Danio rerio: one gene and its partner. The protein of the gene in region 1 interacts with the protein of each later gene in a pairwise test. Links are inferred from orthologs where the notes say so. Each region holds a gene or a part of one and is shown on either strand. Other genes may lie near its edges.

Region 1 (5,705 bases):
TGATCGTGAGGGCCGATAGAGGGACTTTGGAAGTGCCATGCGATTTTTATTGACCACAGAGAGTCAGGACCTCGGTTTAACATCTCATCCAAAAGATGGCGCCCACTGACAGTGTAGTGTTCCCCTCACTTTTACTGGGACATTAGGACTCACACAGACCACAGGTTGAGCGCCCCCTTCTGGCCTCACTAACACCACTTCAAACAGCAACCTAGTGTTCCCTAGTGGTCTCCCATCCAGGTACTGACCAGGCTCAGCCCTGCTTAGATTCAGTGAGTAAAAGGTCTTGGGCTTCAGGGTGACATGGCTGTGGCATGTCATACATTACATTGGCTTTTTTCATACATTTCTGCTTTTTTGCTGCAAAGAAAATATGAAAATCCTTTACATCTCTCCAATAAATTACATAATCAACTAGTTTAAACTCAAAATCATTTTTATATTCATATTTTTTTAGATTAATTCAGTAAACAAAAGCAGAATAATGTCAGGGTTAATTTTAGGTATGATGTTAAGGTTGCCAACTGGTGATTGTTGTATGGTGGATGTATTTTTTTCTTTTTCTTTATTTTTCTTTATTCTGAACTTTTATTGTAATTTCAATTATTAACTTTTTAATTATTACTTTTTATTATTTTATACACTGATCATGTTAGTTTTGGGTTCTGATGTGGTTTTCGTGTGTCCATTATTCATCTTTCTTTTTAATTCTTCATGTTCTGTATGTGACTTCTTTTCTTCATTCACTGCCCTGCTTGCTGTCTCGCTGTATTCTGTATTTGTCTCTCAGACTTGGAAACATCCATGGATAGTCGCTGCACCACAGACAGTGCGGACAGCACATTGCTTGGCCGTCGCTACTGAACCTTCCCTTCTTTCCCTCCTGCAGTCCTCTTCAGCTTCCTCTAATAACTGGACATTTTCATCTGTGAACTGTTGTGGTTAATTTCATTTTTTTCTTATTCCTATTCACATTTTGTGTTTTTGTATTTATGCATCCCATCACCATGCTTATTGTAAATAATTGTGCATTTGAGTGTTTCCTGTAAGTCTTCTTTTGTTCTTTTCTGTTTTTATATATCTATGACATTCTTTTATTCTCTTTGAATGTGTGTGTGTGTGTGCGTGCGTGCGTGTGTGTGTAAAGAAAATCATCAGTTGTGAAGTTTATTTGATCAAGAAGTGTCTGCGTAAAGATACAATACAATGCACTCAGCATTACAGTCTTTTTATGGCAGTACTTTATTCATTAAGGCATTACAGGAGGTTCCAATCATCAATGTTAGAAATTATTTACGAAATTCTTCAACAACAGATTGTAACTTGGATTCAAGTAGTATTTGGTTGGTCATTGTTCTAAACGTGTTCATACGTACCTATTTGTTTTTTTTTATGTTTAAGTATTTTTAATATCTAGAAGATAAAGTATAAACTAAAAAATAAAGATAAAGCTGAAAAACTTAATTTAAACTTTAAAGGGCACATATTTTACCCCTTTTTCAATATTTAAGATGTGTTCATTTACTGTGTCTGGAAAGTTTCAGCTCAAAACAACCATCAGATTATTTATAATACCTTTCAGAATATTGTAATTTCCATCTATTTTTATGCATATTTTAGACATTCGCCCAGAAAATGGTTGATGGAAACGGCAAGAAAAAAATGTGCATAAACCACGATGGAAACACTTTTACCAAACAAATTATTTTTATGTACATTAAAAAAGGTCATGTGACTTTGTTATAGGAGATCATGTGATAGTAAAAATGTGTGTGAAAGGATAAACCAGCAGGCTGAGCACACTGTAAAGCATTGAAAATATTGATTTGGTCAATCTAAAATGCCATAACAGTAATTTCAGTATTAGTGTTATTTTATTAATTACCTCCAGGACTGTCAAGAGAGTCTGTGCTCCGCGTCTCAGGCCTATAAATGCCACCACAAGTTCATTGCATGTCAGCATTTGTCTTCTGCGGTGCAAGTCACTTGTGATGTGATGATATTGCTCTCTTTGACTCATTGGATGGAAACACTTCTTTATTCACACGTCTTTTGTGTGATATTTCAGTTTTGTGCATGAAGTTAATTCACATTTTTGGCTGGAAACATAGCTAATGTAGCTGTTTTTGTTGCCTGTGCCTTTAATGCTAGTTCTCCCTGCCCACTGTTCCCACGTGGCTGTCAGTGTGCCTCAGGCTCCAGCTGCATCAGATAAACAGCACAGTGACAGACACGAAGGAAGCAGATCTCTTAAACGTTTGTGAGAAATACTACAATAACAACTTTCCCAAATATTATTTGATGTATTTGTTGTGGAGTTAATTCAAGCCTATGGAACGTCATTGTGTGAGACTCATCATTGCATAAAGTTTACGCTAGAGAACCCGCCCCGTTTTCTACCCGCCGCGCCCGTTTCCACTAACGAGTGGGGGGAGAACAAAACCGAAAACCACCCAGCTATACAGAGTCCAGACAGCCTATAACAAACTGTCTGTATAAACACACACACACACACACACACACACACACACACACACACACACACACACATAAGCACCAAGCAAGTGACACACACACACATAGGCATCACACTCTTTCTCTCTCTCTCACTCACACACACAGACAGCACAAAGCTTTCTCTCTCATTCGTACACGCACACACGCACAGACACACACACAGAGTGATGCTGTGTTTAGCTTGTTTGCTGCTGTCTCATTCACACACATACATACGCGTGCTCGCTCGCTCGGAAGTCGGGAGCGATATTGTTGGACAGTTACTCCCGTCCAAAATTAAACCAGTTACCGACCGCTCCCGCGCTTTATTCGGAAATGTATTACCGCACCGCAGAAATCTGGTCGGGTTGAATGCAGACCTCTAGTTCACGCACACAAACACACACACACACGCAGTTGTGACAGGATACACGTTAATATCCTCTGCTGTGTGGATATCTGTTATGTTAATGTACATATTAAACTTGATTTAATGTCCATAACCGGGATTCTTCTTTTATAATTGTACTGATATGTGGCTGTGGTGATAAAGTAAAGACGGTAAAATCTCTGTAATAAAGTTTTAAAAAGGTTTTAAATTTGTAAAACTCATTCTTGATCATATTTGATGATGATTGATGTTCACAGCGATACCAGTTTCTTTGTGTATGTCCTGTCTTGTTGATATGATTATAGGCGTTACTACAGAGACATGTTAATACGCGACGTCAATCATTTTGGTGGGTACGGGAACCACACTCCTACGTCACGTTGTGGTGGGCCGCAAAATGGGGAAAATTTGGATCCTATTTTACTGTCAGGAAATTAAAAAAAAGAGACTTAGTGTATTTTTATCACTTCAATATGACTGTGGACAAATTATACCTAAACTCAGTTATGTTCAAACTGCTTAAAAACGATGTTTAGGTGCCCTTTAAATTAGCAGTTTTCCATATTTTGTGTATTTTATTTTATTTTCTGTTTATTTATGTTTTTGAAATGCATTATGGTACATTTTCTGTGACTTTTTTCTTTACTCTTTACATATAATTTCTTATACATTATATTATTTCAAACTACTAAAGTGTGAATAAATTTTCAACATCAAAAGTCGACAGAGCAAAGATCAAGATCCCATAATGCAATTCCTACTCGTAAATAAATGGATAAATGCTTGTGAATCACGAAATACGGAAACTGTTATTTAACATGTTTTACAGCAGTTAAATTAGCTATAATATTATGTTAAAAAGGAATTTATAATAATAACTTTTGTATTGCTATAATAATAATAACTGTTTTATGAAGGTCTCGAAGGTCCCCCCTCATGATTATCTCGAAAATATCCACACTGTAACACAACAGTTCATTTTCTAGCTGTATAACGTCTGACTGAATGGGCACAGAAGTGCTGATTTATTGCATTTAAATTAGTTGTCAATATTTGCCTGTGTTTTTATTGCACATTATAAGGGAATCGTGTAATAATTTTTTATTTAGACTGGACTTCTCAGGTTGTGCTTAAATAAATAGAAGCAAAATCAAATTGATCCGTTTTACTTGGCTTGATTTCTTTTTTCTTTCCTTTTGTATTACTAGTTTTTTTTTTTACAAAGTAGTTTTGCATGTTAAAGAAATAAGGTCTAAAATGTCATTTAGAACATTAGACTATAAATGTGCAGTAAAAAGTGTCCGTTTACTCATTTACTAATGAAGTTTCTTCAGTTAATGGATCATGATCATTCTGGATGAATGAGAAAAGATTAGGCTAGGTTCTGAATATTGCTCTTGCTGATATCAAGAAATCATATGGTGAGTTAACAATGTCAATATGTATTTTTATTTTTTTTAAGTGTGTGTTTCTTGAAAACAGTAAGCATGGAAGTCCCCCCCAGTAAACCTAATCATTAAAGAATTGTACATGAGATTGAGTTGGACTTTCCATTCATTAATTCTGGATTTATTTTTCTTATTTTTTTAAATTTCAGGTTTCCCATCAATATCTCGAAACAGAGATGCCTACCAGTCTATTGACCACAACGATCAATCTGGAAGCTCTGCCAACCCCTTTGGCCAAGCGGAAGATGGCAAATCTGGCACTCGTTCCTACTAAACATTTATTAAAAAATATATATAGCAAAATGTTTTGCAACCCAGGCTAAATGTGAATTTTTGCTTGGTTCATGATTTGTGTATGTTTTTGTTTAATTTGTATGCCTATTTATTATTATTATCATTATTATTATAAATAATAGTATTAAATATAATGTTGAAGCATGAAGGAAAACAACTTTACATTTGGAGATGCCTCGTTACTGAAGAAAACTCAGAGATAAATGAAAACCCACCTTCAACACCTTTTTTTTAACCTTAGGACTGCTTTGTACAAGTGCAAGCTGTTTGATTTTTTAAAGGTGTTATTTGTGAAGCTCAAAATTTGCTGCTTCACAGTAAGGTTCCTTGATGCTATAATTTTGGTGTGCACAACATTATTATTATTTTTTACTTTTACTTTTCTTCATTTACTATTTTGTAGCATAAAATTGGTCCATTTTGTGAAAGGTTTAAACTTTTTTTTCCAACCTGATCTCACAAGAAAACGCAAGTATTTTACGTTTTGTCAGTTTAGTGGCTAATTCGTACAAATTTGTACAAGTTCAGTCATACAAAAATGAATGATTTTAAAAAGTAGGCATGGCACCTAACCCCACCCCTAACCCCAACCGTCATTGGGTGATGAGCAAATCGTACTAAATTGTACGAATTAGATTGTACGAATTCATATGAATTAGCCACTAAAACAAATAGTTATGAATTACTGTGAGATTGCATTGGTTTTTCTTAAACCTTGTCATGGGATCTGTCCTGTATTAGCTATATATTAGCTAAAATATTATAATTAGTAAAATTCTATGTTATCTATCATTAGTTATCATATATGGCCATATATATGTGAATTATATATATATACAGTTGAAGTCAGAACTATTAGCCCCTCTTCCTTTTTTTAAATATTTCCCAAATTATTTTAACAGAGGAAGAAAATTTTAGATATCGATAAGATTTTAGATATAGACACAGTATGTCTCATAATATTTTTGCTTCTGTAAAAACTCCTATTTGTTTTATTTTGGCTAAAATAAAAAAGTTTTTACATTTTAAAAGCCATTTAAAGGTTATAATTATTAGCCCCTTTAAGAAATTTTGTT
Region 2 (8,210 bases), on another chromosome or scaffold:
TTGTGGAATCACAAACTATTGTTATTTAAACTAACATTTACATAAGTCAGTCACACTTTTATCCTTGTACTCCTTTGGCTCAAAGCTGTAAGATTTGTTTATGAGCGTCTCACCTTCAGGATCGGCGGAATCTAGTGTTTGCTTAACAAATTTAACATTTTATCGGGAAACTCCACTTTCACACCTTACACTTTACAAATGCAACTCAAAGAAGCTAGTGTAGCTAGTTTGGCTAATGGTTGCATTGACTAGTTATTGTTATGTGGGTAACACTTTGCAATTAGGTATCATTAGTTAATGTTAGTTAATGGATTTAGTATTATGAACAAACAATAAACATTACATTTATTCTAGTATTTGTTCATGGTAGTTAACTAATGGTACATTAACAAATGCTAACGAGCGTACATTTTGATGTTAATAATATATAAATGTTACTCAATACTGTACAAGTATTGTTTATAATTAGTTCATGTTAGTAAATACCTAACCTTGAATGAACAGCAGAATGAACCGCCAACTATTCCGACATGTTTTTTACAGCGGATACCCTTACAGCTGCAACCTAGTACTGGGAAACACCCATACACTCTCATTCACATACGCACTCATACACTATGGCCAATTTAGTTCATCCAGTTGACTTTTACCACATGCCTTTGGACTGTTGGGGAAACCTTATTGTAGAGAGTGACCAATATCTGTTATAAAATAACCAATAATAACAAATGACATGTAAATAATTATGATTAGGAAATTGCATATCAGGAAATGACCAAGAATAGTAAATGCCAGTAAACAGTAAAACTACTTGCTCTACAAACAACTGTATTGCAATACATAAAAATATAATAAGAAAATACACATTTAAAACATCATTAAGGCAGCATAATAAGCTGTTTTCTTATAGTTAAAAACAAATTGAACTGAATGAAGTGAACTGGAAATCTCAAGAAAATTTTGTTCTGCTGAAGAGCGAATAAACTTTTATAATAGGAGTAATGTTGAAGATGTCTGAATAATTTTTAAATGTAACATTTATATGTAGAAATATCAAGTGAGTAATGATGCAGTAGGGTTTGTCACTGAAATACCAATAACGCAGCACTGGAAAAGGCCATTAATGATGATGTGTGCATTTAAATATACAGTATATATACTTATTGAGTCCAGAAGCTTGTGACTCACTTAAAATATTCCACACAAACATCATGAATGTCTGGCACATCAGTGAGTCTCTCAGCAGCCGGCAGCTTGTGTTATTGAGTTTTGTAAACACAAATTGAAATGATGAGGTTATGTCTCTCAGTAACAGTGTGAGGAGTTGTTTCCAGGGCACATTATCTCGAAAGCCTGAGTGTTTGGGAGATTTGTTTTAGACTGTAAAGTGAAAAGGCTGCTGTGCCAGTTTGTCAGATGGGCACCACATACCTCACCTGCCTCTCAGCCCTGTCCCATTCAGATCATTCATTTAGCCTTCTGCTTGCCTTTTGGCAAATTTGAGGAATAGAATATCAGATTTAGGTCTTTACCACAATATGCTGTGCAGAAATAGTAATGCAAGCACACAGGCTGAAGTTTACTAGTGTTTCATAGCATAAATGTCAGGAGGTTATTGTCACAAACCCTTACATATACAGTACACAGTCTCACATTTCAGTACTATGTATTACTATTATTAACATTAAATGATAAAAGAAGGTATGAGAAGTATGTGCATATACATACATACATGCATACATACATACATACATACATTTGTCTATTTTATGACCTATTTTATCAATTTAACAAGATCCCAAATCTATTATAAATTAATAATTGCTTATATAACACTAGATTTTGTAAAACACATTATAATTGCATACATGTGCGCACACACCCCTATATAATTTATTTTATATGTAATTGTCAATTCAGGACCATTTATATATATATATATATATATATATATATATATATATATATATATATATATATATATATATATATATATATATATATATATATATAATTTTCTTTTATTAATTTAATAGCTTTTCTAAACTTTAACATTTTATTACATACACATTATATAGTAATGTAATGTTTTATAATAATATTTTCTAATTTTTTTAATTCAAGAAAAATCTGAAATTTTGAAATCATTGTTATTGTTAATCATTATTTATTATTAATAATGATATTATATACTGCATAATATACATACATACAGTGCTCAGCATATATAAGTACACACCTCACAAATCTCTTTAAAATTCATATTTTTAATAGGAAGTTATGCAATATTATATTTGTGCATTCACATTAGTTTACTCAGTACTGAAGCCAAATCTGGAACTTATCTAACAAAATAATTTACGATAACGGTCCAAAAACTAGTACACCCAAATTTATATTATAGAAAAATATTAAATACAAATTAAAAAAAGGAAAAATCTAGAGAAGAGAAAAATGTAAAGATTTAGTTGAAAATGTGTAGGTTGTGATTTTTTTTTTTTTTTTTTTTTTTTTTTTGCAATTTTAGCTTGAATTTATTTGTATTATCTTTCAGTTTCTAAATATGTTTGGTGACGACTAAAATATTATTTTAATAGATATATCTGTTTAATAAATCTGTTTTGTTTAAATGCACCAAAATACATTGCTATATTCACTGAGAAAAATGAATACAAATATTCATTTACAGAATGGGGTGTACTCAATTATGATGAGCACTGTATACTGTTTACAATTGTAATTGTTTGTACAATATCATTTAATATTATATATAATAAAATTTTATGCTATATTAAGGCTCTTCGATTAGTTTTTTTTTAAATCGCTGTGCAGCTTCCTGAAATTTCTGCTTGAATATTGTCACTTGAATATGTTCATTATTAAAAAATTATATTTTTATGTGCTTTACTCTCACTGTGTCATCCTTGTGCTTTTGAACAGATTGGCTATGGCACAACTGAAAACAGCCCTGTGACATTCTGTGGCTTTCCTGTGGACAGTGCAGAGAGAAAGATAGAGACTGTTGGATGTATTTCCCCACACACCGAGGTGCACTTTCAAACACCACTTTATTAAGGTGCTCTTTAGGCATCAGTTCTAGCACACTGAATTATTGTTTCTCCATTAGGCTAAAGTCGTGGACCCTACAACAGGAGAGATCGTGCCTCTGGGGGCTCAGGGGGAGCTGATGATCAGAGGGTATTGTGTGATGCTGGAGTACTGGCAGGATGAGGAGAAGACCCGTGAGTGCATCACGAAAGACCGCTGGTACAAAACTGGGTAAGTGTGCTTGATACTCCTCATTACATTGTTATAAATTATATCCCAGCTGTCTTGACTGAGTGTCTCTGCTGTGTGGTTCATACAGTGATATTGCCAGTTTGGACCAGTTTGCATACTGCAAAATAGAGGGGCGCATCAAAGATTTGATCATCCGAGGAGGAGAAAACATCTATCCTGCTGAAATTGAGCAGTTTCTGCACACACATCCCAAAATTCTAGAAGCACAGGTCAGCAGCGTCTATAAAAAAATGTTTATATTTACCTTTAGCACTTCATAATTCTCAGAAACAAATTATTAGCTTCAATAATGTTAGCTGGAGAAAGTCAATATAGGCTACTGATATACTAGCAAAGACTAACAACTAACTAACTAAAACATGCTAGCAAAGAGTGTAAATATGGTATAATGCTAGTGTAATTATAATTAATGCTTGCATGGTGTTAAAACTTGGTACTAAAGTGTTAGAACCATCATAGCAACTTGCAAAATCTGCCTAATAATCGGTGCTGACAAAATGTAATTTGTGGTAAACTATGCTAACAATATGCCAACTCATTCTATTAACATGTCAAATGTGTTAAAAATAGCATGCTAATTCAAGTTAGCAACCTGGCGACCTGCTAGTAAAATACTAACCATTCTAACAACATGTCAATTGATGGTGTCAATGTGTCTTGTAGTAAATTCATTTTAGCCACAGGATATAGGATAATAAAACATGCTAGCAAAAATTTAAGTCTTATCTGTTTGGAAGCAACTTGTTATGTCATGCTAGCAATTAACTCACTGAACAGTTCAAGCGTATTGCCCATGTGTTAAAAATACTATCAACAAATGTTTAACAGGGTAGAAAAGTGAAAGAAATGGCTATTAATTGCTGAAAAAGCCTGTGTATGTTGGTAAGTTATGTTTTAATCCTGGTTTATACTGGTTCCTGCTGCTTCCCTACAGCACATGACCAGGAATGAATGAATAAAGAACCAGAAAGAACCATAAACCAGCATCCAAACAAACCTTGCCAGTGCATTCTGTTTTTTCATCAAGGATTAGAAACATGCAAGCAATGGCTAATGTTAGAAACAAATAAAATAGACATGCTAGTAAGATGCTAATTAATTCTGTCAACAAATTAAAACTTTAGCCTTGTGTTAAAACATGTTAGAAATGTGTTTAATCATGCTAACAACATGCCAATTCTTTCTAGCAGTGCTAACTGCATGGTTGCAACCTATAAAATCATGTAATACACGTGTTGAAATATTCTAGAAATATTTCAAAATCTGCTATGTTACAGTTGAATGAATTATGTCATGATATCAACATGTAAACATGGTTTAACTTTTAGTCCAGGCTTTTTTAACTGTGCTATCTGGTTTTCATTAACTGTTAGCCACCATTTTATAGTTAGCAAGGTTGTTTGAGCATTTTTAATGTCTGTTTTTTTCACACAGGTGGTTGGTGTGAAGGATGAGAGGATGGGAGAGGAAGTATGTGCTTGTATTCGACTTAAGGAGGGTCAGGAATGCACTGTAGAAGAGATTAAGGCTTACTGCAAAGGAAAGGTCAGGAAATTTGGATTCTCAAGCTTGTGTGTGTCTCCCTGCACATGTACACACTTGTTCACCATTAAAATGTTTATATACAATTTATTAGATTGTGAATATTCACTGGAGTAAATTTAATATGTAATTTAAACATAGAAATACACAAACAATTATTATTAAACAAATATAAAGAATATCTGAAATCATGTTACTTGAGTCATTTAGGAAATCTAATTCTTATATAAAAATAAATACATTTCCTTTAATTACATTTCTTCCATTATACTCAATAATCCATTTTTAAAATAAACAAAGTTACTTTCAGAGTTAAGCACTTCAATATACTTTTTTCCTTTATTTTTATGCTAAGAACAGATGTCATTGTTTATACAGAGATAGATGTTTTTTAAAATAAACCCACTTCTTAAAACATTGCCAAATAAATTGACTGTAATGATAATAAAAAGTGAAGACACACATGAAAATAATAGAAATAAACAGCAAAATTGTATAAAATAAGATAGTAATAAATAAATAGACAACCATACTTGCCCAAACTTGGTCCTGGAGGGCCAGTGTCCAGTAGAGTTTAGCTCCAACTTGCCTCAACACACCTGCCAGGACACTTCTAGCGAGCCTACTAAGAGCTTGATTAGCTAGCCCAGGTGGGTCTGATTGTGGTTGGATCTAAACTATGCAGGACACCATACCCTCCAGGAGCAAGTTTGGGCACCCCTGGTCTGGACAGACAAAGAAAAGAAAAGGAAATTACAGTTACATACAAGATAAGTCACATTGTTCCCCAGGAAGTACATTTATAGCGGAGCACTGCCAAACGTTTGCTCTTCAGATCTTCAATCCAGTGTGATGCTTTAGATGGATTTAAAGACTCCCAATGCAATAGAATTAGTCTGTGAGCGAGTAAAGATACAAAGTCAGACTCAATTCACCACGTAGAATGCCAAACAATGCAAATTCCGCACATGACTTAAGCTGCACTTAAGACTATATATCGAATATGGTTGACGAGTATGGCAAGTCTTTTGACATTTAATCTATAACCCATACTAGTATTTATTTATATGTTAATAGTGCATAGTTTTCAGATTCTAGTATCTTTCCATTAAGTACTATTACTTATTTGTGCATATTCATTTGATTCTAGTGCCTATTATTTAGATACTAGTGCTTTTTAAAAATATACTAGTTCTTACTCATTAGACACTAGTTCTTTTTATTAGATACGAGTGCTCATTCATTAGATACTAGTACCTATTAAATAGATAATAGTACTTATGTATTAGATATTAGTACTTGTTTTAGTAGTGACTAGTAACTATTATGTTGTTACTAGTAATACATTTAAAGAAATTCTATTTATTTCTATCGGATCTGTCATTGAAATATCAACTAATCAGTTTTAAAATATACAAAAGTATTTTACTATTACTATTTATAACTATTTTAATAGTTATAAAAGATACTAGTGTCTAGTAAATAAATACTAGTACTGATGAACAGTTACTAGTATCTAATGAATTGGTATCCATTAAATAAATACCGGTATCTATTAATTACTTTCTGATTAACGACTAGTATGTAAAAATATGTCCAGCTGGAATACATACTAGTCAAAACTGAATAGATGATATCTCAATGAAAGATCCCATAGAAATCATTGGGAAAAAAATTAATGTGTTACTATTAACAAAAGAATAGTTACTAGTCACTATTAAAATAGATGCTACTATGCAATGAATAAGTACTAGTAACTAATGAATGAGCACTAGTATCTAATAAAAAGCACTAGTGTCTAATGAGTAAGCACTAGTATATTTTGTAAAAGCACTAGAATCTAAATAATAAGCACTAGTATCTAATGAATAGGCACTAGTATCTAATACATATTGAAGTATCTAAGTACTAGTACTTAATGGATAAAGTAATAGTATCTAAAAAATAAGCTCTAGAAACATGAAAACAAACACCAGTATGGGTTATAGATTAAATGTCAACACAGCTTGCCATAGGCGCATAAGGAGTAAGCTTAGGGCACATTCAAAACATGTGAGATAAGTCTGCTTCACCTGTGTGACAATTTATACAGATCTTGTCAAAAGTAGAGTTAAAAGATGCTCTCCGTGATCTCTGTATAGTTTTTTGCATGAATAAATGTATTTTGTTTATTTGTATCTATAATATATTAATCAATTCAATTACACTCCATTTTTAAAAACAAACATTTAACAAATTGGTGAAGTTTGTTTCTCGCCACTGTCGCCTCTGGCTTGCTTGGTTTAGGACTTGTGGAGCTGTGCATTGATGGATTTGCTCTTCAGTGTTTGGACTTTCAGCAGTGAAATTTAAACCACACTGAACTCAACTAGACGGAGAGTTTCAATTTACTAGAGCTTCTATGTTAAGCTGCTTTGACACAACCTACACTGTAAACGCGCTATTGAAATAAAGATGAATTGAAAATGCAAACAATAATAATTATGAATATGATTTAACAACAATACTACACAACTGTTCAAATTCTGCTGTTATTTTTGCAGATTGCCCATTACAAGGTGCCGCGCTATATATTGTTTGTTCAGGATTATCCTCTGACAATTACAGGCAAGGTAAGTGATACGCTATTATATTAAAGATTCATATTATTGCTTACAAATGAACATTTCAGAAAATTCCTTTAGTTTAGAGAAAGTCAATTCACCATCGCCTTTACAGAATCAACCTCTTTTTAGTCACCACTCCTTTCTGTATCTCTGTAGATACATCATGTTAAAAATAAAGTGTAGGAACTGTTTTGTTGGGCTGCTTCACATTTGTCTCTAGACAGAAGAAATTGAAGCAATTTCCCTGTCTGAATCAAACCCAGAGAAGTGGTTTCAGGCATTCGAGGGCTACTGTGACACCTTTTGCTTTTAAAGGCTTGTGGTTTGCTGTCGACAGATTGAACCCTTTAATAGCACTACAGCTGTTCTTTTCTTCATCTCTCTCTCAGATCCAGAAGCACAAACTGCGCGAGCGGACCGAAAAACAGCTCGGACTGTGATGATGGCATCTGTGGGATTTTTTTAAACCGTTACAAGCAGGAAATTATGCTAAGGACTTTACTAGGTCACTTTTGTGATTTCCACATTTATAATTAGACCCATCATGTTTTATATGTGCACGATATTACACTAAGTTACCACAATTTTAGAAAAACCAGTGGCATTTCACTATCTTAATGGAACAATTCACCCCAAAGACTTGCTGTTAATTTACTTAAACTCAGGCCTTCCAAGATTGAAGTCAACTTGTTTCTTCAGTATCAGCTCACATGTGGGATTGTATCCGCAAATTCTCAGAAGCCACAGATATTGGTTTTGTTT

What was found. The genes of interacting proteins can lie anywhere in the genome.
Region 2: the proteins of agtrap (region 1) and acsf2 interact in binary tests that used the Homo sapiens proteins (3 or more experiments, as listed by UniProt). The two-hybrid records come from large-scale screens. The link is inferred for Danio rerio from reciprocal best matches to the Homo sapiens genes AGTRAP and ACSF2.

The regions. Positions count from the first base shown.
Region 1 is NC_133186.1:18,186,607-18,192,311, forward strand, and holds the end of agtrap (type-1 angiotensin II receptor-associated protein), read left to right. Parts: intron 1-790; coding exon of another isoform or gene 791-864; exon of another isoform or gene 865-1,464; intron 1,465-4,484; coding exon 4,485-4,609; 3' UTR 4,610-4,633; downstream 4,634-5,705. UniProt on the Homo sapiens protein: Appears to be a negative regulator of type-1 angiotensin II receptor-mediated signaling by regulating receptor internalization as well as mechanism of receptor desensitization such as phosphorylation.
Region 2 is NC_133187.1:28,297,366-28,305,575, reverse strand, and holds part of acsf2 (medium-chain acyl-CoA ligase ACSF2, mitochondrial precursor), read left to right. Parts: intron 1-2,940; coding exon 2,941-3,048; intron 3,049-3,127; coding exon 3,128-3,279; intron 3,280-3,367; coding exon 3,368-3,509; exon of another isoform or gene 3,510-4,695; intron 4,696-4,734; coding exon 4,735-4,845; exon of another isoform or gene 4,846-5,327; intron 5,328-5,544; exon of another isoform or gene 5,545-5,616; intron 5,617-7,385; coding exon 7,386-7,454; intron 7,455-7,837; coding exon 7,838-7,888; 3' UTR 7,889-8,210. UniProt on the Homo sapiens protein: Acyl-CoA synthases catalyze the initial reaction in fatty acid metabolism, by forming a thioester with CoA. Has some preference toward medium-chain substrates. Plays a role in adipocyte differentiation.